Linked DNA regions of Mytilus edulis. The protein of the gene in region 1 purifies or fractionates together with the protein of each later gene. This does not show direct contact. Links are inferred from orthologs where the notes say so. Each region holds a gene or a part of one and is shown on either strand. Other genes may lie near its edges. The genes, in order: T-complex protein 1 subunit theta-like and phosducin-like protein 3.

Region 1 (16,484 bases):
CAAAGTACCTAACTGATTCATTTTTTGTCAAAATCAAACTAAGTTTAATTTTGGACCCTTTGGACCTTAATGTAGACCAATTTGAAAAGGGGACCAAAGGTTAAGAATCTACATACACAGTCATGACAGTTAGATTCGGCATATCAAAGAACCCCAATTATTCAATTTTGATGAAATCAAACAAAGTTTAATTTTGGACCCTTTGGGCCCCTTATTCTGTTGGGACCAAAACTCCCAAAATCAATACCAACCTTCCTTTTATGGTCATAAACCTTGTGTTTAAATTTCATAGATTTCTATTTACTTATACTAACGTTATGGTGCGAAAACCAAGAAAAATGCTTATTTGGGTCCCTTTTTGGCCCCTAATTCCTAAACTGTTGGGACCTAAACTCCCAAAATCAATACCAACCTTCCTTTTGTAGTCATTAACATTGTGTTTAAATTTCATTGATTTCTATTTACTTAAACTAAAGTTATTGTGCGAAAACCAAGAATAATGCTAATTTGGGCCCTTTTTTGGCCCCTAATTCCTAAACTGTTGAAACCAAAACTCCCAAAATCAATCCCAACCGTTCTTTTCTGGTCATAAACCTTGTGTCAAAATTTCATAGATTTCTATTAACTTAAACTAAAGTTATAGTGCGAAAACCAAGAAAATGCTTATTTGGGCCCTTTTTGGCCCCTAATTCCTAAAATGTTGGGACCAAAAACTCCCAAAATCAATACCAACCTTCCTTTTGTGGTCATAAACCTTGTGTTAAAATTTCATAGATTTCCATTCACTTTTACTAAAGTTAGAGTGCGAAAACTAAAAGTATTCGGACGCAGGACGACGACGACAACGACGCCGACGACGACGCCGACGCCAACGTGATAGCAATATACGACGAAAAATTTTTCAAATTTTGCGGTCGTATAATCACTATTGCAAACTCTATTCATCTTCATATACAGTAATTTTACTAGTAAAGTAGTGAAATAAGGTTTACCATATCTCACTATTTACATTTCTTTTTAACATGGTATACATGCAGAATTCTTTTTCTCCTGGTGGTACTTGATGGAAATATGCTTTTATTCACTATCATTTCTATTGCAAAATACTGAAATTGTGACGGTCTTTTGGAAATTTTGGTGTTCAAAACCTTAGGACCACAAACTTTCCAGAACTCAATACATGCAGTTTATCACTTCTAAATGTTTGAATACACTGTTTAAGTAAGCAACATTGTGAGTGTTGATTGTTTTGCTACATAAAAACAGATATTAACTTGAATTGGAACATGAACTATGTTATATTTGGTTTATTTTGTCTTATTTGATGTGAATGTTTACCACATTGTTTATAGGATGTTTATTATTTACCACATTGTTTATAGGATGTTTATTACTTACAACATTTTATAGTTCTCTCATGTTCTTTAATGCAAACACTACAAGCTATTTTAATTGTAGATCCAAGAAAATGCAATTGTAATGTCCTTTCCGTTATACTTACCAAAATCTTACTAACTCGGATGTTATCTACATTAAATGTCGCTTTTCCTGAGAGTATTGATACTGAAATACAAAACAATATATTTTATAATCTTTTCCAGTATTCTCTCAAAATAATTAAAACATTGCAAATATTTCTGAAATATCAGTATATGAAGCAGCTTGATTTGAAAAAAAATAGTAATGTATCTGTATTTTCCTTTTTTGAGCCAAATACTGGTTGAGTATACAAATAGTAATGTATCTGTATTTTCCTTTTTTGAGCCAAATACTGGTTGAGTATACAAATAGTAATGTATCTGTATTTTCCTTTTTTGAGCCAAATACTGGTTGAGTATACAAATAGTAATGTATCTGTATTTTCCTTTTTTGAGCCAAATACTGGTTGAGTATACAAATCACAAGAAGAAAAATAATCATGTTTGTCCAATCAAAAGTATATTTGAAATACTGAGAGGTATAAACATCAATATGTAGATTAAAACAATTTCTTTTTTACTCAAATTTTGCTCCATACATGCATCCATTAAGAAACTTCTCATCAGTTTTCAGAAAATACAAATTAAAACAAAAACGGTTATTTGCAAGCTTCGATATAAATTGAATGCCACAAAATATAACCTTGAACATTTTGTTCTTTTCCATTTTCTGCTGAATTGATTACTTACTACAAGCATCTGTTATAAGATTAGCTAGAAAATCTTCATTTCCATACTGTTTACTCATAACTGATGTTCGTATAGTCTTTAATACATCTTCTTTCTTTCGTAGATTCTTCAGTTCATCACAGACTAAACCTATAAATTAAATAATTAACATCATATAAACTTGTTAACTACTAATATATACATCAATATCATCAAAAGTATATAAACTGAAAAAAGTCCTTCTCTAAGTGATTTGACATGAGGATTGTAGACTCTGAAATTATTACTGGATAATTATGATTGTGTGACTCTTCATTTCTTTGTAAACTCTTTTTGTATTAATACTTACTTGGACTTGATAAACTGTGAAAATGGTTTAAATTATACAATAAAGCTTTTTTTTCATTAAAGGGGCACTAGCTACAAGATATACAAAAAAATCAAAAGTATCAATTTTTTTGTTCAATCATCAATGAAAGTAAAATAGTGAAATAATAATTTGCTTTTATCAGCTAAAATGGTTCAATTTTGTCAAATTAAGCTAATGAATTATTCACTTGCAAGACCTCATTAAATCCGTATTCATGTGAACTCCAATTTCACCCCGTAGAAAGAGATAGAATAAAGCATGCATTGCCCATGTACGGTTATTTAAAGGAAAAGAATGTCAACATTGAATGTGAAACAAAGGTAAATAATTTGATTAACTGATTCGATCAACACAAAATCATTCTTATAAAGGTAAAAACGACGATAAACATAAATTTTTTATCTATTATACAAAATTTAACAGACTTCTATGTTTATGTTTACATCGCTTATATGGTCATAGAAGGTCAACTCCATAGTTAATTAGATGGTGTCTTGGCTAAAATTCACATGAAATGAAGCTACATTTTATTGAGACCATGTCATGTAAATTGTTTATTTTATACTTTTGATAGTTTGGGAAAATGTTTTACATTGTTATAAATAAAATATGAGAATTTGAGTCAAATCGGTGAACAGGAATTTGGCAGCTAGTGCCCCTTTAAAGAAAAATGAAAAAGTTCAGGAAAATGTCTTGCAGATGGCAGCAACTTATAAGGTCATATATTTTACTCTGAATGAGACTCATATTTATCAATAATCAGAGGTAAAAAGTATACAAACACAAAACAAAGGGTCATTGTTTATTTTTTAAATGGCTGTGTTGACAATTTGTTAACAAACTTACTAGGAAGAACGTCTAAAGCTTTCTTACAGGCTAACTCATAACCTTCTGTGACTTCAGTAACAGATAAACCCTGCAAAGATAACAAACATTGATATATCATAAATTACATACTTTTTTATAATTTTAGGAATGACTGTAATATTTTTTGCTATCTATGGAGAAATAACATCATAAATGGGGATGCTCACTAAATAACCCTTGAAGCATGTTCTTTAAAAGTGTGCACCACATTTTTTAGGATATTTCGAACAGACAGAAAAAAGATAACACTCATTCCTTATAATTTACTTATAAATTCCATTTTTGAGGTTAAATCATGAAAATACATGACAAAATTATGTCTATGACTTGATAGACAAACACTTTCCGCCAATCATTCAGAAGACTTGTTACATCCAAAATTAAATTATTTGATGATTACTAATGTTAGAATTTACATAATGAATAGAAAATATCTGTATTGAGAAAGATTTTTTTCTGAATGGCTGGTCAATAATGGCAAGAATGAGAGGAACATCTCCAGTGAGATGACCCTAAGGAAGAAACTCTCATAAGTGCATGAATCTGGTGAAATGAACAAATACTTTTTGGTAAATTTTTGAACATTTTGTTTGAAAGTCAGTCAGCCATCATGAAAAAAAGTTGCAATTAACTTAACATAATCACTTTTAAGAAGTCTAGAATTCATTGAAATTACACAATTTACCATTCTGAGTAAGGATTCAGCATGTTCTAATAAAGCCCCAGTGAAAACCATGACAAAATTGGTTCCATCTCCAACTTCCTGTTCTTGCTGTTGGCATGCCAACACAATCATCTTTGCAGCAGGATGCTGGACTTCCAGTTCACGTAAGATAGTGGCAGCATCATTTGTAACAAACAGCTTCTCTATGTGGTTGATGACCATTTTATTCTGACCTGAAAAGCAGAATTGAAAAATGATCATGTAAATTTAGTTTGTAATCTTTGTGTAATTTCAGTGTTCTAGAAGCAATCATTCCACACACCAAATAAAGTTGACCTATTGCTTATAGTATCTGATAAACATGCCTGACCATAAACATTTAATTTCAACAAATAACCATCATATTAAAGGTCATGTAAGAAAAATAAATTGTCATTCTAAGGTATTAAAAGGTCAACATCAAACAATCATTTATCCATACAAGAACATATATGTGCTTCAGAGAAACTTAGATCAATTAATAGGCCAAGGAGCTTATAGACAACCTGCTTTTGACACTTACCAAGTGGTCCATAAGCTGATGCAGTAGTTGCCGCTAGTTCCTTGCAGGCTTCAATATTTCTGTAAACAGCTTCATCTAGCCCACTGTAGTGCTGCAAAAAGTACATCAAAAATAAATAAACAGACTGCTTCTCTTCTTCAACAGCATGGAAATTTTAAAATGGTGTAATTATTGAAGAAATGGAGTTTTACATACTGTACAAGTTCATGTAATACAAAGGCAAAACATAACAGGTAATACATATCTGAACAAAGAATTACCAATGGGAAATAAATTAACTCCAGTTTCAGCCTTGTCACAAGAATTTACATGATACTTTTAAGCATATTCATATGGTATAGTCTAAGAACACTTTGGACATGTTTATACATGTATGTTTGAAAGAGTTTTAGTATTAGGTTAGAACACTGATACATGTACCTAGAGAACTCTTCCAAGTTTCTTTTTTTTTGTATTTTTAATTGAAATGTAATTTCAATTGGCCATCTGTCCTGTAAGTTGATAATTCCAAGTTTAAATTTCATTTTCTGAAGTAGTTGAAAGACAGGGCTTCTGTTTTAGAATTCAATATTTTAAATATTGTGAAATTAACATACTATAAGTATGAACAACTTAGTTGTCTGACTGTTAATGTGTTTCCCAATAGTTTCTCTGTCTTATTTTTAAGACAGGATTTTCTGCACTATATTTTAGCAAGGTCATTTACTTTTAGTAACATTATGTTTGTCACACTTGGTCATGTGACTAGGTGAATACAATTAGCAGTATTACAGAAAACAAAGTCAACATTATTATCTCTGTATTTTCTTAGGGTACTTATACTATTCTTATTTTGAATAGTAATGCGAGAACAATAAGAATAACAAATAAGATAGAAAAAAAACATTGTCTTTTATTTTTCATCTTTTGTTGTATTTTCAAAATGTATACTGTATAAAGTGGGTGTAAAATTTCATGATTTAAAGGCAACAAAGTAAATGAAAAATTTTGGCGGGTTCTGAAATGGTTGCAGTTAAAGAGTTGTAAAAATTGACAGGAAGAAAACTGTGAAACAAAGATAATCATCCAAGGTGCCACTAAAACATGTTTCACAGTATCCACTAAGGACGATATCTTTATTGACAACTTTTATATTGACAACATTCTGATTCATGTACTCAATAGAATTTTGTTATTTAACTCAGATATTTGTCACAGGTGCACAAACTTCTTGTAAATGTTACGCTGGATTAGTTACGAAATTGACCACACTTTTGATAAACTATATTTTTATAAAAAAAATCAAAATGAAAAAAAAATGTTCTTTCTTGAGATTGGAAAGTTTCAGTATGTTTTCCTATTAATATAAAGGACATATACGTGATAACCATGTTTATGACTTGGACATGATGTCCTTGGAAAATTAATCTGGAACATTAAATTAACTAAAATATTGATACACAACTGTAAAAAAATGTTAAAATTTACCATTTAAAATAAAAGACATTTTTACCTAGGAATATTAATGACATGGACATGATTTCCTAGGAAAGTTAGTCTTGGGACATGAATTCTATTAAATGGTAATGAATAACTCTTTAATAATATTAAAACATAAATATTGAGTTTCTATTGTTTATGAAATTTGCCTTTTAAAATATAGGACAAGGACACTTTTACCTAGGAATATTAATGACATCGACATGATTCCCTAGGAAAATTAGTCTGGGGACATAAATTTTATCAAAAAAATTGATACACAACTTTTTAACAATATTAAACATAACATTTAAATTTCCATTGTATATTATGTAATTGAATTTATCATAGGATTTTATAGGACATGATTTCCTAGGACAATTAGTCTAGGGACATAGATAATGATTACTAAATATACTAGTAAATTCTGTAACCATGGACTTTTTATACTAGTAATATTTGTTCGCCCAGACATATTTCACCAGGACCAAGTTCTTATAGTGAAAGCATATTAAATCATTCAACAAATGTTCCTGAATAGTGTTAAAGCACCTTGTCCGGAGATGTATTAATTTAAGGGGTCCCTCCTTTCGGCTTTTGTTGGAAAATTTTATATTATGTAGGGAATGACTGGCCCTCCTTATGTGGCAATAAATGTGAGAATTGCCCTCTAACCTTTTCATTAGATTATAACCTAAAATTTATTACATGGATGTCAATGATTTCGTTGCCATACACTACACACAATATTCTCTCCCTCACCCTTTTTTTTTTAAATTTTGCAACTTGTATATATTTGACTTCCAATTTAGACAAAGAACTTTGATGGCAACTTTTAAATTTAGTTATTATTGTAGGGCCTTGCGGTAGATGTTAAAATCATTTCTTTTTTTCGATTAATCATGAGAACATTCCAGATCATTCTAAATAAAAGAAGCATGGAAACCACATGGGTTTGCCTACAGTAATCATTACTGTTAGTGTGGGTTACGTTTGAAAGTCAAGCGCGGAGTATCAGATAGAATTATATGTAATATGCATTTAATTTCATGTCAAACTTAAATTCACCTTAGCACCTTCTTTTAACATTTGGGCAAAGCCCGGTGCCTTAGGAACGTGCATCGCCATGTTTCAATCTGTTGAGTGTTGTCTTCCCAGAGTGCTTTAGTTACTTTATAGGGAAGTGTTAATTTCATTCTTTCTAAGTCATCTGGTGCGATAATTCTAGCCGAGTTGTCAATATGAGTAATAATGTGTGACCATTCCATCTCATCATTCCAATATCCGGAAATATTCTTTGAAGTTGCAAATCATATAGTCCGTTACCGTTTAAAAATTCATTTTATTGTGAGAGAATTCAAACTTAATCTATAACTTGTCATTCAGAGTGTCAATTATATAACAAATAACAAGTTTCTATATTCAAATAACAAGAATCTATATTCAAGCATGACGAAAAAAAAGTGCTAAAAACTAATTATTTATTTAAAAGTGAATTTTATAAGTCTAAGGATCATAACTCAGACAGACAGACAGACAGACAGACAGACAGACAGACAGACAGACAGACAGACAGACAGACAGACAGACAGACAGACAGACAGACAGACAGACAGACAGACAGACAGACAGACAGACAGACAGACAGACAGACAGACAGACAGACAGACAGACAGACAGACAGACAGACAGACAGACAGACAGACAGACAGACAGACAGACAGACAGACAGACAGACAGACAGACAGACAGACAGACAGACAGACAGACAGACAGACAGACAGACAGACAGACAGACAGACAGACAGACAGACAGACAGACAGACAGACAGACAGACAGACAGACAGACAGACAGACAGACAGACAGACAGACAGACAGACAGACAGACAGACAGACAGACAGACAGACAGACAGACAGACAGACAGATTAAATGCGGTGGTGATATATGATATTTTGCAGTTTCTGTTTAATTTATTAATTCACGCTTCTCTTGATTTGGATAGATTTGAAATATGCTTTAGCCTATATTGTAATACTAGGTATATACAACTTATCTATTGTTAAAGAGCTTATATATTTATGCAAGCTTCTATGGAGGTTTGTCATTTGACAATTATTTATGTTAATATGGTGTTTTGATGAGAAAATAACCCTCTGTAAAAATTATCCCAATAGGTAAATATTTAACCTCCGCCCGGTGCAGGTGTATCCAATTTCATCATATATGGAAAATACACTGCCTTGTATCGTTTTGTTTACTAGTATATATCTTGACTATAGACAGAAGGGAAGTATAGTGGCGCTCGTCTTGACATAGTACATGTAGCTTCATCAATAGATTCTCGATTCATTTAGATCGGTTGGTTAAGAGGTGTTTCACAATATGCCAGTCGTCCCAATTTCGGCAACCATTTGTCACATAATTTGTCGCATGGTATTGTAGAACATAATTTAGAAAAATCATGTTCTACATTACTATGTTACATTACAATAAAATAGGCGAAGACTAGCTTTTTGAACGATCTAGTCTTCTGTGCAGATCTAGAAGGTCAATGTAATAATAATAGTAATATAATAATATAATAATAAATTCTTTATTTAAAGAGGGTAACTCAATTAGAACTAGTCTAATTTTCATTGAGGCCCTCAAACAAAATACATCCACACAGTTAACGTCCGTCTGTCCCACTTCAGATTACTTGCATGTTTTGGTCGAGGTAGTTTTTGATGAAGTTGAAGTCCAATCAACTTGAAACCGTTAGTACTCATGTTCCCTCTGATATTAATATTCTTAATTGCAAATGGTAGGTTCAGATTTTGGACTAATCCTCATCCGATTTTATTATGCAGCACAATATATTTTTAATAGTCGGGACTCTTCGTTCAATAAAGACTTTGAAAGGTTTTATCGTTTGGCAAGAAAAATTAAAGAAATATATTTGATTAATTATTTTTCTAATCAAAACTTTGCTGTATAACTACACTCTTTCGGGAGAGAACACAAAAATAGATTTATAAAAGAAAGTAAAGTAAATATGCCACGGATTGTTTTATTGTAACAAGTGAACCAATGCCATAAATTCACCATTCTCCCAAATTAGGTATGGGACTCGAGTATGGGATATCCTTTCATATCTGATCATATTTTATCCCGTTAAATTTCTTTTTACTCGCAAAGTGTTACTCAGTCTTTGCTTATATATAGTTATTTATCATATATTTTTAATAGAATCAGATTCATATGAAATACGTTTTTATCAAATCATCTGAAAATATAACCAAAAAAAGAACATGCATTTTTCCAGCTGATTTTTTATTCATAGACTTCCTTATTTTCTTAATATCCACATCGTAATGTCCCCTACAACCTTATTACATGCTCAATATAGAGCTATATGAAACTGGCAAATAAAATAAAAAGATTACTTAACAGACAAATAGGGGATTCCTATATATACATAATCATTGGACTAAAGTAACATGAGTAAGTTCCCACTAAAAGACTGATTTTATCTATTTTATAAAAATCGCTCATAAAGTACTAATAGGTAATATTTTTTTGAAAAATATCGATTTCAGTTGAAATGACATATCTGAGTGCACAGTTTTTTTCCTATGCCAGAAAATACAGCAACTGGACGTCATAGGTCAAATGTTGACGTCATTTGATTTATGACCGTCACGCCAGGTATGCGATACGGATTATGCAATACAGAGTAGGTGTTACAAACTGGAAAAAATAACCTTTATTAGATATACAAAATTGCTGTATTTAGTACTAAATATATGATAAACAGACATAATACATGACAAAATCCGTAACTTATACTGTATCATCACGAGAGATCAATATCAGTCCCGAGGGCCGAAAGGTTTTGTCATATACAAGTTATTATATATCATACTTTCAAAATATATATGGCCGTTTCCACAAACTGCTGTTAAAAACCAAAAAAAACAACATTTACTTATATTTTTTTTAAACAGCAAAATTTTAACTAAATTTAATTAAGAAAAAAAATCTATTGTTTAAATCGACTTAATTGTTAGTTATACGTCCTTGTTAGTTTGAATAAAAAATAATGATCTGTATTATGGTTGTTGAAAATATAAGTAAATCAACACTTCATTCAAGTAAACAGACACCTGCCGGAAAGAGACGAGACATTACGGAGTCACACGGAAAATAAGGATCTAAGCGCATGCGAAGATTGAGTTGACAGAGCAGAAGACAATACACAAATATTTGTTATTGTTTTGGACATATTCAGTTTAAGAGTTGTGAAAATTGACAATTAGTTAGCGGATGATTATGAAGAGACGGAATGTCGATTGCGGCAAAATTAGACGGATCCCCAAAAGAACAAAAATAACGGACGGTTTCTACGGAAGGTGATTTTCCATTTCCAATATGGCAGCAAAAATGTTTCAGAGGATAAATATGTATAATCCAATATTGATGTTGTTTCCAAAATACCTTATTATGTTGTCTTATGTTCCATTTAACACATCATAATGTCCAATGCTAACTATTAATGGACAGGATGATAACATGGCGACACCAGATTCTTTGTTCGCAGTCTTTATTTTCATGTTAATTAGGTTACCTGGACAGGATTATTTCCCCTGTTCAGTCTGCATTATTTTTGTTTGTGTTATTTATATAGCTTATTAACTCATATTTTTAATTTAAGAATGAAATCATTCATAAAAATAACAGATAGATCTAGGGTTTTTTATTTAATATTTCCTGGTCAGTGTCCTTAATTATATGTTATTGTATAATTGAAATTTGAAAATGCATTTTATTGAGCAATACAATTTATTTTTACAGTTCTAAAAGTTCTGGATTGAACCAAATTCAATATGTAAATTCCCATATTAACCAAGATAATATATATAATCAACATTATCAATAGTGTACACCGGTCAAAATGCCATATTCTCACTCACACTTTAATTAAAGTTTCCTAGGTAACAATTGATTTTTAACACTATGTCCTAAATGTGTAATAATTTCATTATGTTTGATATTAAAACTTTATGACTTATTAGGATTTACTGTGAACGTACTGCATGTACTCTGATCAGATCATTTGTGGAGAGCAAATGTGCATTTTAATTTATGCTACAGTTCATATTTGATTTATCGTCATACATTTCACATGTTTAAGTACGGCTACAAACTAGGTGATTTTTGTTTTAGCAGTGATAATTTACTTGTTTAATTTTATAATTTAAGTTTTTAAAGCATTGATCTTGCCTAGGACAGTAGGACATTCATTTTTCGTACATGTACACTAAAAAATAAAAAAAATGAGAAAATTGCTAAAAGAAGCAGGATGAAGTCAATTAGAACTGCCAGGCCTACTATAACATCCAAGTCAGACCATACCAAACTCAGCATAACATTATTTATACAGATACAATGAACAAACTCTGCATAAGTTTCGTAGATTTTAGGGGGACATAGAATGACTCTCAGGGGTTCAAATCTTACCATTTTTTACATCAAACTTATACATGTTGTACATGTTATATATTATATGATTAAATCAGCAATGTCCTGGACAAGTTTGAAAATCATATTTTATAATGCCTAATAATGGCCTATAATTTATTTTTAATAGAGTTATGCCCCTGGATACATAATTTATCTGGAAAATCACATTGTTAACCCCCCTCATTTGTAAAATTCATGCCAGAAAATTTTATGGTAAATGGTAATCACAATACATAACATTGTAGCTCTAAGCCTTCATTTCTCTAAGATATAAATCAAAAGTTTTATAGAAAAGAAAAAAAAAAGTGTTTCTTTAGTTAATGACCTTGAACCTTGGATAAATAAAATATGTGCAATGCAAAGGACATTGAAACTTTGTTCGTTTATTTATTTGCCCCAACTGGCATGACTGGTGCTGAAGGGACATTTTGTTTTACCCTTGTCTGTCCCAACCTCCCATACTAGTTTCTGATCTTCGACAAAATTTGCCTCAATTAAATGTTAAGAAACTTGTACAGAATGCTTATTACCACCAAATTCATATCATATTTGAATTTGGTGGACTCCAATTTGGAGTCACTTTTATAGTGTTTGAGTTATGTCCCTGTATAAATGGATAAATTGAAAACTTTGCCATTCCACCCTTTAACTTTAGGTTTGCTTGAACCAAATTTTTTAAAGCGGCTTGACTATGCTTATTACCACTAAGCACAGATCAAATTTGAATTTAGGCCTTAGGGGGTATCACTTTTGCTGTTCTTGAGTTACATGTACATTGTACAATGTTTGTCCCTTTGTAAATCTGTATCCATGGGACACACTTTCCATTCTTCCTCTATACATTGTACCTTATACATGTTATACAAAATTATACTAGTGGCTTATGCTGACATGACAAGTAATATATTTGAGTTCTCACAATGTCCATACTTTTCATAAATGTTATTGCACAGCTTAAACATGTTAATTGTAAATTTAAAACATAAAACCAAGTACAAATGTATCTTCAATTCTTTAGATAATGATGCAGGCTGCACAAGTAAAATAATTGAGTTTTTACAGTGTCTATAGTACTGTAAATTCAGATGTTAATAGGTGCATTTATTATTGCGATTTTGTCATTTTAGAATAAAAATGCCATTTCATTTTTTGCAATATTGAAAAATTCTGTTGAATTCATATAAAAAAAATTTAAAATACGAGTTTACATTATTGCGATTATAACCCTATTCAGAAATGTAATTGCCCAGCTTAAATTAAAAATTTTAAAACAAAATATTTTGAATTGTTTAATTGTTTTCTTTCAGTACCTTTTTGTACCTGAAGTTTTTGATGGTTTGGGCTCTTGTCCTAATGGCAGATTTTATACTAGAGTTCCGGTTTGAGTATCTGTGGCCATTCTGGTTATTGGTTAGAAGTGTCTATGATTCATTCAAATATCAAGGATTGGTAAGTTAAGCATTCAATTATTAATCATAATATGTCAGGGCTCACGCTACCAGGCGACTTGGGCGAAGAAGTCGCCTTCCCGACAGTCACTTCGCTTTCCCCGACCCCCAAAAGCGAAAACAAGTCGCCCTGTTCTTGACGACAGTCGCTTTCAGTCGCTTCCGTCATCGGACATTTTTAATTTTTACCAAGTTGATAAAACATCAAATTTTTAATGATAATGAAAGAAATTCAGACATAAACGATTCATCATCTTTTGAAAAGAGGTTGAAGCATTGTCTTCGCAGTGTGTAGCAGGTTATTTGATAAAAATACAACTTTTTATCACTTCGTGCATTTCCGCAAATACCGGTGCTTGTTACTCGAAAACGTACATCAACCTCAATTTTGGCGGCAAAATAAGTTTGTTACTTCATTTAAACGTGATAAAAGTTGCCTCCAGTAAATTTTAATCCATTTATTGCATTAAAAACGTCATGTTCCTTTCCAAATAACTTGTCAAACATCGTTTATTTTTGTAAATTTTCTTGCATTCGTCCGCCATTGACCGATTTCTAATCTCCGGATCTGAACTGGACCAGCTATGACCGAAATCCGTACTTTTACAATAATTACTACGGACGCACGGATGGAACAGCTGACAGAAGAATATTGATGCCAAAGGGAAAAATTACGCATTCCACACGCATTAAGAGACTTTTGGTTACATCTAATTGATTGTTGTATATAATTCCTTATATTTTTTATGGATTGTTTCAAACTATTGATTAAAGTTGCTTAACTCTGAGACTATTATACTAATATCAATATATTATGGCCCAGCTTAATAACTTTTATATTTTTTTATGAGAAACACTGAATGTCATACACAAGATAATTTTTAATTAAATTGTAATTGATATATTATAATTTCTTAACATTTTTTTAAATATTTTTTATTTTTTTAGTGCTAGATATTTAGTTGGTAGTTTCTCACAAGCTTAGACAACTTTTAATTTCAAATGTTACTTTAATTGTAATTTTTTTACTCAGATATGAATTGAACAGTATAAAAAGAACATTATTTACATATGGCCCTTTATACTATTGTAAAATCCAAACATTGTATCGCACTGCACGAATGAGCACTTCTCCCTATCAGTTTCAAAAAGAGAAGTCACTTCTCCCTATAATTCTGAAGTAGTGTGAGCCCTGATATGTAAATAAAAAATATTTTGTGTTCATTTACATTTGTTGTTTGTCTCTTTAAGAAATATTGTACAATTATTTTAAACCAAAATTTTGAGTGTACAAATAAATTAAGAGAAAAAAACCCAGTTATATTATGTAAGTCATGAACATTTCAGTATAACTACATGTAACAATCCTTGTTACTTGTTAGTCATATATAACATATATTTAAGAGCTATTGGGGAGCAAAATATACATGCAACATTGATGCTGCAGTTATAGAAGCAAACATGAATTACTGACAAATCATACATATGTAGTCCCTCTTTGCCTGGTTTGGACGTCTCTCCATACAAGAAACGCTGCTGGTTGTGAGAGATTCAATTGTGGATATCCTCTGTCATAGATATAAGATGTGGTATGAGTGCCAGTGAGACAACTCTCCATCCAAGGCACAATTTGTAAATGTAAACCATTAGAGGTCAACATACGGTCTTAAACACTGAGCCTTAGCTAATACCTAACAGCAAGCTATAAACATTGATAAAAGGCCCCCAAAATGACTAGTGTAAAACCATTCAATTGGGAAAATGTCTGCCTAAATAATACATAATTCCATTAGACAGTAATATCTAGATTTCATAGAACAAGAGTGTCACTAGAAACCATTCTTTTCCACAGTGAATCACTTAATACAAGCTAAGTTTTGATAGCAAGAACGATTTTTGACTAAATTACCTGAAGGCTTACATGAATGTGTACTGTAAATTTTACCAAATAGCAGTACCTATGGCTCCAAACCATTATTGTACATTTAATGTACTATTTATTCCTATTTAAGATCAAGTATATCTAGTGATAAAAAGTTTGTTTTAAAAGAGAGAAAATTGTAGCTTTTGACTCCAAACCATTTCTTTTACATGTTTCTGTATGCAATATTTTCAGGCATTTTCCGTGTTTTTCGTGTGCATTGCTGTCACCTCAGATGTGGTGTGCTATCTGTTTATACCTGTACAATGGTTATTTTTTGCTGCCAGTACTTATGTCTGGGTCCAGTATGTATGGCATACAGGTAGGTCAAAGGTTGCATATATAAAATTTATAATAAAGGTTTCATTTAAACATCAGCCCTGAAGAGATACATACATTTTTTGTTTTTGTACATTGAGATAGCAAAAGTAAAAACGTTATTTTTCTTAGTAGCTTTATATTCTTAAGTATACACTTTTTGGGGCAGAAATCACTACCAACTCCTGTCAAAAAATGAAAAGGAGAGAAATAACAGTATAAATTAAGAGGTTGAAATATCTTGATATTCTGAACTAACTTTTTACAATATTTGAATGTAAATTCCATAAGAATTTATAGTGAAATGTATCACTTGAAATTCTTAACCAAGTTAAATTAATATTTCACAAATTTATATATAGTGTCCTGTTACCTGTATTTATTTGATAATATTGTAATAAAATATAAGTATAAGTAGTGTTCCCCAATTGACATTTTTTTTTTTTTTAAATACTTGTAAACCACTTCAAATTTCCTATTTATTTTCCTGTAATTATATTTAATCAAAAACAACAATGGATTAAGTTCTGATCTGTCCTGAATTGTAAGTTAGTAATGTATCAAGTTTTTTGTTGATAATGTAGATGTAAAAAAATATATACAAAAAAAGAAAACTTTTGAAAATTTGAACTTTTTGCAGAAAGAGGAATATGTCTTCCTACAGTTTCTCTATGGTTGCTGTTTGTCTACATAGAAGCTTCAGTCAGACTCAGAGAATTGAAAGCTTTACCATTTAATCTTGATCTCTGTAGACCATTTGCAGCTCACTGGTAAGAATTTGAGTTTAGTATTAGTATTCGTGTGCACTGGACATGTAAAAAGAAATGGTGTAAATGTTAGCGAGACAGAAACCCATGAATACAAGTTCTTCATTAAAATAGACCTCCTGTTTAGCCATGCAATTACACTTTATTTTCTACACTTCCTCCAAGAAAATAGACCAACACAATTGCTTTGGTCAATTATATATACTAGATTTTATTTAAGTTTCATCATGCTTCCCAGGATTGCTGATTTCATAATTTGTAACTCCTTACTGTATTCATTTAGTCGGGCAGGGATCTCCATGGATGAAAATTGAACGACGGAGGAACTTACCATCACAAACGGTGTCTACGCCGTACAGTGTAGCGCGATCAAAACTATTTCATCCCTCATAAGGATTGGGCCCCGATTGGTGAAAATGCTAATTTATTGCTTATTTAAATTATATTTATTTGAAT
Region 2 (16,452 bases), about 7.8 Mb from region 1:
CCCAACAACAAACAAATTTTTCAGCCCTAAATATTATCACTAGAAAAAAACCTGTAAAAAGATACATTGGTTTAAAATCTACTTGTATAAATCTACTTGTATAAATCAATGTAGAACATCTCCTCTACACCAAGAAAATTCCTATTTGCTACAATTAATGGCAGTCTATGTAAGGTGTGTCTGATCATTTTTGTCGAGCTTGTGACTTTGTTACAGAAAGCTCGATATAGGGAAAGCTATCCGGCAGCGGCTACTAGAGCAGCTACTACTGCGGCGTTAGCTAACTTCTTAAAAGCTTTTAAATATTTTAGAAGGTGGAAGATCTGGATGCTCTGTATTTTGTATATATTTGCCTCATTTACAAAGTTTCTGTTTATTACATGTCCATTGTCCCTTACCTCATTTTCATGGTTGAGTGATTACTTGAAAAAAAGTTAAGATTTTTTGTAATGTTTAATTTCTCTCTGATTATGAGTAATAGGATATAACTATATTTTGTTTGCGCGTAGCTTGCAAGGTCCTCATGACCATTACACAGTTTTCACTTGAACTCATTTCTTGGATCAGTGAACAAGGTTAAGTTTTGGTGGTCAAGTCCATATCTCAGATACTTTAAGCAATAGGTCTAGTATATTTGGTGAATAAAAGGATTGTTAGTTGTACATGTCCAACTGGCAGGTGTCTTCTGACCTTGACCTCATTTTCATGGTTCAGTGGTTAAAGTTAAGCTTTTTGTGTTTTGGTCTGTTTTTCTTATACTGTATGCAATAGGTCTACTAAATTTGGTGTATGGAAATATTTTAGGTTGTACATGTCAGGCTCTACAGTTGTATTTGCCCTTGACCTCAATTTCACAGTTAATTGTCCAGTGTTTAAGTTTGTTTGTTTTGTCTGTTTTTCTTCAACTATAAGCAATATATAGGTCAACTATATTTGTTGTATGGAAGAATTGTAAGCTGTACAAGTCTGCCTGGCATGGATCATCTGACCTTGACCTCATTTTCTGTTTCTTAGAAACTATAAGCAATAGGTCAACTATATTTAATGTATTGAATGATTGTGAGGTTTACCGGTACATGTATTTCTTGCATGGTTTATATGACCTTTACCTCATCTTCTTGAATCATGTTAAGTTTATGTAATAGTTGTAGTAAAGTTTTATAGTTAGGACTATCAACATAATATCAATGATTTGTAAAGCAGGTGAAACATTTCAATGAGTTCAATATTTGATCCTTTTTTTTTGTATTTATTTCTGGTTGTACACTAATTACTTCTTGCATCAGAATAGACATGATTAAGAACCGTAAAAATAAGCAAACAACAATGAACCACAACATACCTAAATAATGCAAAATTTAACAAAAAAAAATCAAAATACCAGTAACAAAAATAAATGAAACTTGACAGGACAGTTTAAGAAGTCTGAATGAAATGCTCCCCTTCATCTATGAAGATCACATTATTAGACATACATTGCCAACATCTACATCATTCAGTCTCAGATGGGTATTTGTCTTTTTGACAATCATACCAAATCTTATTTTTATACAATGGGACTGTACAAGTTTTTATATTTTTTTATAGTCTTTATATTGTATAAAAAAGTTACTCTGCAAAGTAAACAGCATAATTCAGTTCTTCCTTATAGTAATACATTGAATATTGATTTTTTTTTTAGCACAAATGTGGTAAAGGGAAATAACTTTAGTAAGATGAGGCCCCTCATGGGGGGGTCCTAGTAATCACATAATCACCATTTTTTTGCCAATATAATCACATAATCATTAAATATTTGCTTATCTTTAGTAATCAAATAATCATAAACTAAAAATACAGTCCTAGGTAATCAAATAATCATGAAATATTTGGCTTAATAATCAAATAATCATTAAAAAAACGGCCAAGTAATCACATAATCAAAAACCCCATGAGGGCCCTCTAAGATGTAGATCCTAGTCCAAATTTTGTATGCCAGATTTCAAACTACACAGTTAAATGATGATAAAAATATGTTTATTTACAATAAATACATAGGTTATATACATAAATGATAGTAATTATCACCAATCATTGTCATCATCACAATCGTCTATTGTATTTTCTTTCATTGCACGGTCCATTACATCTGATATTGATTTTTTAGGTGGTTCTTCTAATTCTGTTTTAACTGTACCAATTTTTGATAGGTTCCATTCTAGTTCTGAAAAAAAAATATATACAAATTTATTTATATAATTTTATTAACTTTTTTCCAATACATGTTTTATATTCATAATGATTATTTTGTGATACCATTCAGAGAATGTTACTTCCATGAAAAACTTTATATTTCATTTCTTCAAAAGATGTGTGTTTACTTTGTTGTATGTCTACACTCTAGTAACTGTTTTCCATCAGAAATCCATACTCAGAATTTACTGCAACTTTCTTAGAATATTCATCAATCTATCAGTGGGAAGTAATATTATAAAGCATTGGTTGTAGTTGATTCCATTGGAATACTAGACAAAGGAAGACAACTCCAAAATTTTAAGATGACTTTAATGTCTTTCGTGCCATGTGGAGATCACCTGTGCTTCAAGTTTAAGCTCTAAATAATATACAAGATAATGGAGTTTGTTTCCAAGCTAGAATTTCTATATATGTTCAATACTTTAGGAATATTATCTAAACTCATATTTTACTATTGGGTTGTGGTCTATTTGACACATTCCCCATTTTCATTTTAGAACAGATATTAAATTCTTGCACCTTGCAAAAGTAATGTTATTTTCTTGACAAGTATAACATCATTTTGTGACTTGAAGATCTGAGCATACATTTCATTCATAAATTTCTGGAAATATTTATGGATAGGATTATTGAATGATATGATCAATGCACTACTGGGGGCTCATTTATTTTTGTTGGTACTCAATTTCTTGGATTCAGAGAGAATTGTCTTTTGGCATGTTTGGTAGATATTTGATTTTGTTAATTGACAAAAGTCTGCATACATCCCTATAGAAATTATGCACTGTGTTCAACCTTAAAATGTGTGATTCAAATTAACCCATAAAATCCACAAAACTTGGTATCCTACAAATAATGATGAATCTACAGTATATATTTATGTATAGCGAAGGAATCGATAAACTTTAGACAATTTAGATATCAAGTTAGTAACCTATGGTTTTGATTGCATGTCGTGCAATCTTTACCAAAAAATTCCATTTTGAACTTCCAATTTTACTTTTTTATCCAAAATAATTTTTGCATATCAATGAGCAAATCATAGACTTAGTCATTGCTTTATCTGAGACTTACCCAGTTTAAATCAGCAAATCATCCTAAACCCCTAATTAGAATTATGGCAATATTCTCAAAATCTTAACCATAAAATGCCATTGTGCACATCCAATGAGTTAATTATCAGTGTTGTTCGGTCACGAGTTGAATATTTTTCCATATTTGAATTCTTTGATTAGTGTTTCTTTTTATTACATTGGCAAATGGCTTTTTTTCTAAAATTAAAGTAGAAAATGTAAGGAACTTTATCTTTTTCTACGCATTCACAATTTGTTTTGATCCGACGTTATCGACGTCTTGGAAACACCTATTGTTGTATGACGTCAGATGAGTGAAATAACCACGTTTATTTCACATGTGAAATTATCTGTTCTTATTTCACTGGGAAATCAATGTAATTCATGTCAACCAATGTAATAAACATATATAATTGGTTCCTACTAACAGAAACTACTGCAAAACTAGCTAGAAAGTTTAAATGTTCCAAGTTAAATACTTTTTTCATATATCTAAGGTTTGAACCTTCTAAAACATCACAGCTATTTTTGGCATTAAGGCCTTTATAATCTAACACTCTGCATAAGTTATATATCATGACCTACCATCTTGCGTAAAATTCATTCCACCAAATTCATGTGGTCCTATAAACTGTTTCTTCATATCTCCTTCATAATACACAAATATTGTTGGTAGGTTTTTGTCTGGATAATTAGGAATGCACACAGATGATACACTTCTCAAAAATTTAACTTCAGGGAATTTCCCCGCTAAGTTCATGATATGTTGATTGATTAACTTACATAAAGGAATACTGAAAAAGAAAATGAAACATATATTAACTCACCTATAGACTTACATATATACACAGTTTGAGTAATCACACAAAAGAAATTGATTTACTTTTCAACTTGTCTATCTGCTACAAACTTGCACAGTTGAGTTTATATTTCTGCTTTTTGCAATATATTTTTTCTTATTTGAAAGTATAGTCATAGGGTACTCAAACCTTTATATAATATATAGTCACCATTAATACCTTTGTCTAGGAACCTGTTGTCCAGTGGTTGTCATTTGTTGATGTAGTTCTAAGTGTAACTGGTTTCTTGTGTTGTATATAGATTAGACTGTTGGTTTTCCTGTTTGAATTGGTTTTCACTTGTCATTTTGGGGTCCTTTATAGCTTGCTGTTCGGTGTGAGCCAAAGCTCCATGTTGAAGACCGGTCTTAGATTTATAATAGTTTAGAAACTACTCTCTATATATGTCACTTTGGATGGATTCATGTGATATTTTCTAATCTTTAAATTTTCTGTGCTTTTAAGTACGGTAACACATTTATGTCATTACAATAAATTTCAAAATTAATTTTACAAAGCTGTGTTTAAAAATTACTTACTCATTTTTATACACATGTAAAACTACCCATACACCTTCCCCTGCTTGGTTAACTTCTGTTACATAATCTACTTTTGATATTTCTTTGACACATCCATATTTGGCTTTCATACTAGCTTCCCTCATTTCTGCCATTCTTTGTCTCCTGTTATATAAACATATATTTAATGACTGAATTAATTATAGAACATGATAAGACTTGTTGTCTAGCACTCAGGTATGATGTTTTTATAGTAAATCTGATGTATGTGTCTTGACTGATACTTAAGTCTGAAAAAACATGGTTTATTACTTAGTTGAAATTTACTTTGAACAAGCTTTAAGTACATTAAATGTGAGTACTCTTATAAAAGTATGTTGTGTCTTTTGTAAGTTTTTAGATACTAAATTGAAGATTTTTGGCCATGGTGAGTCCTTTAGGTAAGAAGAAGATATCTTATATAATTTATATATTTTAGTCTCAAATAAAGCCTATAAATAAAGCTATTAAAAGACATTAAATACAGATTACTTTCAAACTTATGCTGTAAAATAATATTGATATGTGTGTTAAGTTTATACAAAAAATTTCAATCTTAATGCATCTTTTGACTTATTTAATTGTGAGTCCAGACAGATGTTCATGAGTTCAGGACTCATGGACTTGCCTTAGAGAGAATCCTGAGCTTTTTCACAACTTTTGTTAGTCTTTGCATGCTACATGTCGATCTGATAAATTATCAACCAATTATAAAATTGAATGAAATAATAGTTACCGTAACACAAACTTGTGTTTTAGAAATAAACATGAGTCCACAAGAATTGGCTATGAAAATCTTACCTGTATGCTTCAAAGATTCTTTCTTCTTCTTCATCAACATCATCCTCTTTTTCATTCAATTCATCTAAAGTCATGTCATCAAATGCTTTACCTATAATAAAAAAATTCAGCTAACTCGCCGTTTCAGAATGCATTCTGGGTAATATTTTCAAAAGTGTACACCAAAAAGTTGTGATTGTTTTAAAACGTAATTAACAAAAGAAATTCAACCAATGACAAAATGTTATTTTCATTTTGGTGTACGAACAATGAGATTACAAACAGTCCTGTAGATTCTGAATAGGTGATCATCTGATCCTTTTTATTACAATACAAGTACACACCTGTGATATCGCGGGTACGTGACTGAATTAAAGTATATAACTATGCCTAAGCCTTATTTTAGTAATTGGTATTGTCATCTGATAAGTCATGTCGATTATAAGATACACAGTTTTCTCTGCTTTCAAATCTTTCTGTTTGAATCTGTCGACCTGGATCCGGAACTTATCAATTATTGGAAATATTAATTATTTGGAAAACAAAAGGTCTTGGCTATCCAGGAATGGAGTATTTTTTAATCAACAGCATTGTCCTATATTAGTTATCTTAGAAAGTCTTGCTGATTGCTGAATAAAACTACACTATAGGGAACAATTTGACAATGATTGAATTTAGTAGTGTCAGTCCTAGAACACACCCGTGATATCGCGGGTCTGTGGCTGAATTAAAGAATATAACTATGCGTAAGCCTTATTTTAGTATTGGTATTGTCATCTGATAAAGTCATGCCGATTATAAGATGCACAGTTTTCTCTGCTTTCAACATCTTTCTGTTTGAACCTGTCGACCTGGAACTTATCCATTATTGGTATTATTAATTTTATTTGGAAAACAAAAGTCCCTGAAAAGGAGTATTTTTTAATCAACAGCATTGTCCTTAATGAGTTATAATTAAAGTTGAATTCTTTGATTCGCTGTTTTACGTCATTCCGGCTAACAAATTGAAAACTGTACATGCTGTACCTATACGCCTTATTTTAAGTCCAGAATTATATTATTCGTATTGTCACCTTAGAAAGTCATACTGACTTAAATACTACAATCGGGAACAATGCGACAATGATTGAATTTAGTAGTGTCAACCCTGTGATTACGACCGGTGTATATAGCAAAATCCTAAATACAGCGTTTGGTGGTGCGCCTGTCAGATGCGGAACGTACAGATAAGGTAATAGGTAACAGGTGAATATACTTTTGGTATCGGTATCAGATTCGACCGGGAACTTCTTAATTATTGGCAATATTAATTATGTGGGAAACAAAGGGGTCTGGAGTGGTGTAATTTTTAATCAACAGCATTGTACTATATTAGTTAGATATAAAGTTGAATTCTTTGATTCATCGTTTTTACGTGATGACGGCTGATAAATTGGACCTCGCAATTTTGGTATTATAGATGTTATATTGTATATTTTTCTTAAATGCTTAATTAATTAACAGTAAGTTACAATTATTTTCTTACACTATCTTAAAATGTCAGTGGCTGTCAAACTCAAAAATGTCTCACTTTTCAGATTTGAATTATAACATACTTAAACGTAGTCGTATATCAGAATAAAATGTTTCATTGTTTCATTGGCAATCATACCATTACATAATCTATAAGAAAACCACTTCAGATATATATAGCATCACATTTACAATTATAGCATCACATTTATGATTATAGCATCACATTTACATGATGCTAAAAGGCCGGGGGAGAACAGTTCTTCTTTTTGACATAATGGCCAAGTTTGGTTCCAAATGACCATGAGATAAATCCAGTATGTATAAATGCATTGGATATAAATGGATCAGATTACTATGAAATTTTACCATGTGATTTTTCATCTATTGTGTTTTCTACCATACTAATGATATCATCCTCTGTAATTTCTTTCTCTTCTTTTGGTGGAAGAATTCCTTTCTGTCGGAGAATATCATTCCACTGTGTATCTGCATTTGGGTCCTAAAATATGATATTTCATGAATACAATGTATACATATAATAACAGTATGGGCAATCCATAATATCTCACAGTTTCCATTAGACCTCCCTAAGCTACAATGTACATGTACATGTTGTGAAACAGTGGTGCAAATACATGAGATAGCTTACTAGATGTATCCTTCAGTTGAGTCTAAAGCTCAGTATTTTGACATAGATAAAATTAAAACCTTGATGCATCTTTGGGTTCAAAAGATTTGGTAAATGTAATTGTAAACATACAATGTTGTGTATCTTACACATGTTACAGTCAGGTATTTTGTAATAAGAATGGGTCACACCAGTCAGACTGACACCCAGTCTATTCTAAAATATCAAACTTAAACCCGTCACTTACCATGCTACATGTACATATTTCCAAGATTTGTGAATCACATGTATTTGCATATAAATAATAAAAGATAAATGGAAAATGAAAACAGAGACCTACATGTACATTTACACAACAACCTTACCTAAGAGTAGAAAACAGTCCAAGGTATAGTTCTGGTCACAGGTACAATTTCTAGGCTTATTCATCTTATACTTAAGACAATGGTGGTTCCATGAGGAGGGTTCTGGGAGGAACCCCTTTTTTGGGACACTCGATGCATTTGAATGGGCACATATACATGTAGTTGGAACACACCCCTTCCCCCTCTTTTTCATCCGAGGTGAGGAACCCACATTTTTGAAAATGCCTGGATTCGCTCAAGTAACTACAGAGAGGTCCATTTCTGATGACAATTGAATATGCAAATTTTAGTATTTGAAAAGCAGATAAACTAAAGACTTCATCATAATTTTTGACAATTTTCAATGAGATTTCTCAAAATTTATCATGTTAAAAGTTATTTTCAAACATTATAAGTAACGCCATATTAAATAACTTACGTCCATGTTTATCTTTTAAGCTTGGAATGATATCAGAGCTTCTGGAAACTGTTACTCATATGATATTTCACACATGGATCGGTTGATAAACAGGAAGTCCTCAATATTACCATATAAGGAAATATAAACGTCGGCTCGGATCAGGTTTTTATTTCCGGGTTGATTACAATTAAGCAAGTGCTCGAAATATTCGGGAACATGATTAGATATACTGTTCCCAGAAATATTGTATCTTTAAATTTCTATCATTTTTGTGAACATCGAAAAAGCAGTATCCACGGTAAACAACTTCTTGCGGTGATTTAAACTATAATTCCTGTACATTTTGACATAAATAAACACTTTTAAGCTTACCTAGGACTATAACTCAAGGATGTACAGATAATCCCAGATAATTTTATTTATTAGCGATTATTCGTACCCAATTTCAACTTATGTATGGTATTTTTTATCATAAGTAACTGCATGTGGTTCAGAGCAAGGCCATTTCTATAAGGGGCGGATCCAGACAGTGTAGCCTAAAGGGGGGGGGGGATCACCCGACCGGGAAAGGATAAATGGGGGTTCCAACTATAAGTCCCCATTCAAATGCATTGATAGTCCAAAAAAGATAGGGTTCCAATCCCCAGGACCCCCTCTGGGTCCGCCACTGTGTACACAAATCCTAAATCTGGGACATAATTAAGATAGTCATACCAGTGCTTATCCTTAGGTTAACATATAACCAGAGCAGGTTTTCGATCCTTAAATTGGTAGTCGGAACTCAATTAGGGGTCAAATTTCTTCAAATATTGATCTAAATAAAAACAATTTTTCTCTCTTGTAACTTTGTAAACGGCGTAAAGGTAGCATAGGTTGCGGATTAACTCAACACTTGGTCAGTTTTCTTCTCGAGGTTTTCTTCGTATTTAGTTTAATTATGTCATTATGATGTTCATGCAGTTGTATTTCATTCTACATTATTGTACAGCAGCTGTTTACATCAACGTCTTTTTATGCAGCGTATTTGACTCTATTCATATTGTAATTTCCCTGTCAACATTCTTTTAGTTTTTAGAGAATATAAAGCATCTATCTACCACACAGCTGTTTCAATAGATTACAATGTAATTCAAGCGAAGTTTAGTTAAAACACAAACCATCTGGAATATCTTTGCTACATAAGATCACAAAAATTTGTTTAGCGTTTGTATGGACAACAATTCTTTGGAAATCATACACTTTTTTTAAAACCCGGTGTTTTTAACACAGGCACTGTATTTATATACCTCAATAATGTTATATTAAGGTATATAGGAATATTTTCTCCTGAGACTGGTGCCAGCCCTGTGCTTCATCATATAAATATCAAGCACAAGTCCTCCCGTTAGTGGTTTAGTATCATACCATCCTAAAATATATGAGAAGAACATAACCCGTATCATATGCCAACAACTGGTTTGAGAAAAAATGCGTTTATTCCATATTGATAGAACTTCATGAATGGGATTTTCAAATAAGCATATTCACCTGCGGAAAAGTATATTCACCGCTCAAAACGTCGCGTGCATTTGCGTATAACGATACAATATTTTACGTTTAGTTGGTTTTGGTAAATAATTGTTTTTTTACACATATTTTTTTCTCTCGGAACATGGAATAAAATAATGACGATCTTTTGTTTTGGTAAATATGTGGTTTAATTGATTTTTGAAAACCCTAGTAACATTCACTTCGGTCGTTGGCCTTAAAGTTAGTGAATATGAGTTTTTTTTTCAAAAGTCAACAAAACCACACATTTATCTCATCAAAAGACAGTAATTGTATATTATTTCAAATGAGGAGACCCTATAAGTGAACCAATATTAAAGCCAAAATATGCCATCTTTAATTACCTGACAACAGTATCGTAACTATATCCCTTATTGACTAAGTCTGTTTAAATCTTTTGTTAAGCTAAAATGAGGTGAATGCCGACATTTTTGTGCTTAATTTGTAAAGAATATTATTATAAAAGATTATATGTGAAATACCTGAACGTATATGATGTCTGCAGTATTTTGCACCTCCTATTTCATTTCATCTTCTCAAATATCTGAATGATCTCAGTTTGAATGCCATTTTGACTTAACCATATCTGCACACTATACAGAAGGCACACTTTCCCCCCGTTACTCCTGTTAAACCCTTTATCATTAACATATCATTGAATCTTGCTTAGAATCTTTATATTACAATGCCATTGTCCGTCTCCTATATATAATATGTTTTCGGGTCCCATATTATTCTAGAGGTTTGATCCCTTACTAAATTACTGTCTTCATGGTCTTTGTCGAGTCGTTATTTTGAGTTAAGTACGTTACAGTTTGTATCCGAAAGCAGTCTTCTTAAATTTCTTATTTCAACTTTTAAAATTCTCTAAACCTTGATTAGATATCAATAAAGTGGAATATTGCACAAAAAGTAAAGTAACAAAATTACCGAACTCCGACGAAAAACGTGCACCACCTATTTTTCTTTAAATTCTTTAGAATTATTTGAAGGGTTCACCAAAAAGCATGTTTCCTTTATATTTGGGTGCCTATCATTATAGCATTCCTAATTCTCCTAAACCGGCATTATCTATATGTTTTAATTTATAGTACATGTATATTCAGAGACATAACATAATTTATGTCTCTGGTATACTAAAGGACGTAACGTTATCACTGAGACGGGCGGATTTTTTTTCGGGGGGGGGGGGGGGGGGCAACCTCCCCGTTTTGTGGGGAAAAAATATAAGTTCCAAAAGGAAAAAAATATATAACAGTATCCTCGGGCTCGTGTCATATATAACGGAAATTTTGGGGTCCTCTAAGTCTTGGCAGGTCATACAATTTGCATTACGCTTTGTGTATAATTTATTAGTTATAATGCTGGATCGCAGTACCTCTAGTTCATTTCTGTTTTTTTTATTTTTATTATTTATTTTTTTGTTTGCTCTTGAGGTTTAAAAAAAAAGGTTGGCAAAGTTTGAAGTGGGACTTGTTGACTACTAGAACGGATGATAATCTTATTATTAATTGTTATTATAATTATTATCATTATGTTCAATGTTGTAGAGCCGTATACAGAAATGTAATACTTATTTTGTCTGAATTTTGAAAAATTATCCCGTCGGAACCTCACGCTAACTGGTTCCTCTTTAGCGTGGTTCGTTTCTTGCTATGGTCACTTTAAATCTGGCATTTTCGTCGGTCTGCAGGATCAGTCGAATATTATTCGCCGCCATTTTCACAACGTGCTATTATAGCAAATTTTTTGGAAGCCTCTAACGATGGCATACAAAGGAGGACAGAAAGTTCAGAAGGTTATGGTACAACCTATTGTATCCTTTTTTCAAATTAATGAAAGAAATCGCCATAAGATTTCACAGTTTCATGTAAACCACAACATGTATTTACCTCCAGTCAACTGTAGTTGTGTACAAAACTTCCGTTTTACGAAAGTTAAAAAATCAAACTGACTGTACAGACAACACACTACATCTCCTGCTACATGACTCACAAAGATTGATAATGCTGACGAATTACGCTTTTAAATAACGAAAGGGTCACATTTGCATAAGAAAACAAATGTAAACATGGCTATGTTTACACCTCAATTGGGCTCAAATTTACAAAACAACCCACAAAGCAGTCCACCCTGTGCAGTGGAAAAGAGACTAACAAAAACAAATCAGTCCTGATTGCAAACAAATTCTCCAGGTCTGCCAATTTCCTTTTGTAATTTGTTTGATTGGTTAACTGTTTCGGTAGTTTTTCAAATCATTATAGATGCCAACCACTACGATTTTGCATTCAATACTAAGCTATTACGGTCAATGTCAAATAGTTAAGGATTCCCAGTCATCACTGTTAAATTTTGTAAAACCCAGATTTTTATCTATATAGATATATTTCAAAATTTTGATCATGTTTATATATTTAAATATAATAAATATATAAACCTGATCAAAATAATTTAATTTTGAAATATACATTATATAAAGAAGTCTTTTAAAAGGACCTACAAACCTGAAGATATTTGAAAAGTGATCCCTAGCTAACCATACATACAGCTATATACATACTTTTATGTCTCAATAATGATTCTTTGTGTATTTTATTTATTATTATATTTTATATTCAAATATTTTCCATCATTATGTCTGTTTCAAATTGAGTAATAATTTTTTAAAAATGAAAGACGAGCTATATTTTTTGCTAATTGCAGACCAACCTTTGAACCTTATGTATATATTTATATAATTACTTGTAAAGCTTTCACACAATGATTCCTATAAATCTATAAAAAAAAATATGTCTAAAAACATGCAAAATTCTGTCATGTTTAAATGTTATTCATGCATGTAACGTTAGTTAAAGCCTTAAAGGTTGGTTCCTTGAATGTTAAAGGTAATATTATACATGCACTGTACTCACTTCTAATTATAATGTCATGAATGTATCCACTTTAAATGAATATGTTTAAACTATGAATGTATAATAGAAAGAGTATTTTCCTTAACTGTTACACAGAACTTGATTTTTAGATATCTACAAAATGTAAGTATATAAATTCTGATTTATTGTTGAAATTAATTTTCCTTTTACTAATAAATCTTATTCAAAGCATTACAAAAGTCAAACATCTTTGTATGTTGTATTCAGACGGACAAAAGGGAAGCTTTATAGATTAGCATTTTGTTTCAAACTAGGTTTTTTTAAATGTTCCATTATAAACAACTTTCAAAAGAGAAGATGGTTCATCTCTTGAATCCAAATAAAATAATGTTCAAGGGTGCATTTCTCTCTTAACACAAACGATGCCAACGGCTAAGCATGCACATGGTTTGATCATTTGTTTCTAACATACATTTGCAAAGTTTACATAAACTTTGACAAATTATGCACTCTCTAAAAATGTGTCTACAGTTTGTCTTTCATCGTTTGTTAGAACAAACACCACATTTGTTTATAACTTCACTCTGATTAACTGATGTATTTGTTTCTACGTTTGTAAAAGTCTGTTAACCAACAACATGTGCATGCGTTATTAAAAGTTCAAACAGGGTCAGTTAACATTGATTAAACGATGTATTTGTTTCTACTTTTGTAGCGTATAGAAAACAGCAACAAACGCCACACATTGTTTACAAAATTTTTGTTAGAAAAAAATGCACACTTAATCATTGAATTTTGATTTTGCTTTTGAAATACTTGACTTTTTTTCTTACTGATTACTTTTTGTATTAACAGAGATCCAGGATCTCAGTATGGCTGTATGAACAGACAAACCTCAGGATAGAAGGATGTATTGTGGTAAGATTATATCTTTATTATGAAAAAGCCAATCATTCATTGATTAAATTGGCTGTTTAAAAAAAATAATCTGGTATTTGATTTCAATGTAAATATGTGGTAAAGTAAAATTAAATCTTGCATTTGATTATTTAAATTTAAAGGAATAGAGTCAATGATTAGATAAGTTACTACCAGTATATGATAAGCCCTACTTCTTTTTTTTTAGCTCACCTGGCCTGAAGGGCCAAGTGAGCTTTTCTCATCACTTGGCGTCCGGCGTCCGTCGTCGTCCGTCGTCGTTAACTTTTACAAAAATCTTCTCCTCTGAAACTGTTGGGCCAAATTAATCCAAACTTGGCCATAATCATCATTTGGGTATCTAGTTTAGAAATTGTGTGGCGTGACCCCGCAAACCAACCAAGATGGTCGCCACGGCTAAAAATAGAACATAGGGGTAAAATGCAGTTTTTGGCTTATAACTCAAAAACCAAAGCATTTAGAGCAAATCTGACATGGGGTAAAAATGTTCATCAGGTCAAGATCTATCTGCCCTGAAATTTTCAGATGAATCAGACAACCAGTTGTTGGGTTGCTGCCCCTAAATTGGTAATTTTAAGGAAATTTCCCCGTTTTTGGTTATTATCTTGAATATTATTATAGATAGAGATAAACTGTAAACAGCAATAAAGTTCAGCAAAGTAAGATTTACAAATAAGTTAACATGACGGAAATGGTCAAATGACCCCTTTAAGAGTTATTGCCCTTTATAGTCAATTTTTAACCATTTTTTGTAGATCTTAGTTATCTTTTACAAAAATCTTCTCCTCTGAAACTGCTGGGCCAAATTAATCCAAACTTGGCCATAATCATCATTGGGGTATGTAGTTTAGAAATTGTGTGGCGTGACCCTGCCAACCAACCAAGATGGCTGCCACGGCTAAAAATAGAACATAGGGGTAAAATGCAGTTTTTGGCTTATAACTCAAAAACCAAAGCATTTAGAGCAAATCTGACATGGGGTAAAAATGTTCATCAGGTCAAGATCTATATGCCCTGAATTTTTCAGGTGAATCGGACAACCTGTTGTTGGGTTGCTGCCCCTAAATTGGTAATTTTAAGGAAATTTCCCCGTTTTTGGTTATTATCTTGAATATTATTATAGATGGAGATAAACTGTAAACAGCAATAATGTTCAGCAAAGTAAGATTTACAAATAAGTTAACATGACCGAAATGGTCAGTTGACCCCTTTAGGAGTTATTTCCCTTTATAGTCAATTTTTAACAATTTTTTGTAAATCTTAGTTATCTTTTACAAAAATCTTCTCCTCTGATAATACGTGGCCAAATTAAACCAAACTTGGCCACAATCATCATTTGGGTATTTAGTTTTAAAAATGAGTGGCGTGACCCGGTCAACTTACCATGATGGCCGCCATGGCTAAAAGTAGAACATTGGGGTAAAATTCAGTTTTTGGCTTATAACTCAAAAACCAAAGCATTTAGAGCAAATCTGACATGGGGTTACTGTTCATCAGGTCCAGATCTATCTGCCCTGAATTTTACAGGTGAATCGGACAACCTGTTGTTGGGTTTTACAAAAATCTTCTCTGAAACTACTAAGCCAAGTTAATTATAGATAGAGATAATTGTAAGTAGTTAGAATGTTCAGTAAAGTAAGATGAACAAACACATCACCATCACCAAAACACAATTTTGTCATGAATCCATCTACGTCCTTTGTTTAATATTCACAAAAACCAAGGTGAGCGACACAGGCTCTTTAGAGCCTCTAGTTTTATATATACACAGTTATTTCATATTAAGACTTTAAAAATTTCAATTTACTGATCTGTGAAATATACAAGCATATTTTTTTCATTCCAGGGTTTTGATGAATATATGAATTTGGTATTAGATGAAGCAGAAGAAGTTCACATGAAGACAAAGAACAGAAAAACACTTGGTAAGGCCTGGTTTGTTGTTGATACTTGGATATAATTATAAAAGATAAATCTATACTACTTATACAAGTAGGTCAAATTTGTTAGCTGGAATGAAATAAAAAAGACAAATCAAAGAATTAAACTTTATATATAAGGCCAAAAAAAAATATATGTCTGTTTCCTGCTTCCAAGGCAAATAAATCAGGGTCGGTAGGTCGGGATTTTTTTTTTTTTTTTATTTATTTATTTTTTTTTTGCACTCCCGGTCAGATTTGCAGTCCGTTAAATGTCATGTTTGGTGAGGGTCCTGTACCCCAAAATGATTTAATCCCTTTAAAGAAGCTTTAATTGAATAATCCTCCCAGTGCTGACATTATTTAAACTTTAATTGTAGCACATTTGTGCTGGGAGCAGCCATTTTGATGTTTGGGCATAGTAAAATACGGATCTGGATCGGACTGGAAATGAATTTTTCCCGACTGGAAACAATGTTTTTCCGGATTTGAATAAAAAGATCTAGGGTCGGGGGGTTTGAGTCAGGGTCGGTCGGGAAACAGGAAACAGACATATATTTTTTTTTGGCCTAACTTATATAGTACAATGGATTAGAAATTCGTCATTCAAGGTCTTTTTTGTTATCCACACAATTAATAAAACCAATAATTAACAAGTACAGGTGGAATCTGATACTGATACCTATAGTCACATGATAGTACCTGTTACCCAATCTGTAAGTTTAGTCTCTCTCTGGCACACAACTTAACGGTGGGATTTTATATAAACACAGGTCATAAT

The links.
Region 2: the proteins of T-complex protein 1 subunit theta-like (region 1) and phosducin-like protein 3 purify together in Homo sapiens (affinity purification with mass spectrometry; 3 studies listed by BioGRID and IntAct, with this or other methods). This does not show direct contact. The link is inferred for Mytilus edulis from reciprocal best matches to the Homo sapiens genes CCT8 and PDCL3.

Annotation. Positions count from the first base shown.
Region 1 is NC_092353.1:31,338,612-31,355,095, reverse strand, and holds the start of T-complex protein 1 subunit theta-like, read right to left. Parts: upstream 7,283-16,484; 5' UTR 7,197-7,282; coding exon 7,137-7,196; intron 4,702-7,136; coding exon 4,611-4,701; intron 4,282-4,610; coding exon 4,070-4,281; intron 3,434-4,069; coding exon 3,364-3,433; intron 2,298-3,363; coding exon 2,169-2,297; intron 1,564-2,168; coding exon 1,502-1,563; intron 1-1,501. Other genes in the region: macoilin-like, read left to right, coding at 10,378-10,463, 12,882-13,023, 15,139-15,265, 15,902-16,031. UniProt on the Homo sapiens protein: Component of the chaperonin-containing T-complex (TRiC), a molecular chaperone complex that assists the folding of actin, tubulin and other proteins upon ATP hydrolysis.
Region 2 is NC_092353.1:39,176,190-39,192,641, reverse strand, and holds phosducin-like protein 3, read right to left. Parts: upstream 8,549-16,452; 5' UTR 8,417-8,548; coding exon 8,411-8,416; intron 7,499-8,410; coding exon 7,366-7,498; intron 5,597-7,365; coding exon 5,506-5,596; intron 4,831-5,505; coding exon 4,687-4,830; intron 4,103-4,686; coding exon 3,894-4,102; intron 2,204-3,893; coding exon 2,064-2,203; 3' UTR 1,995-2,063; downstream 1-1,994. UniProt on the Homo sapiens protein: Acts as a chaperone for the angiogenic VEGF receptor KDR/VEGFR2, increasing its abundance by inhibiting its ubiquitination and degradation.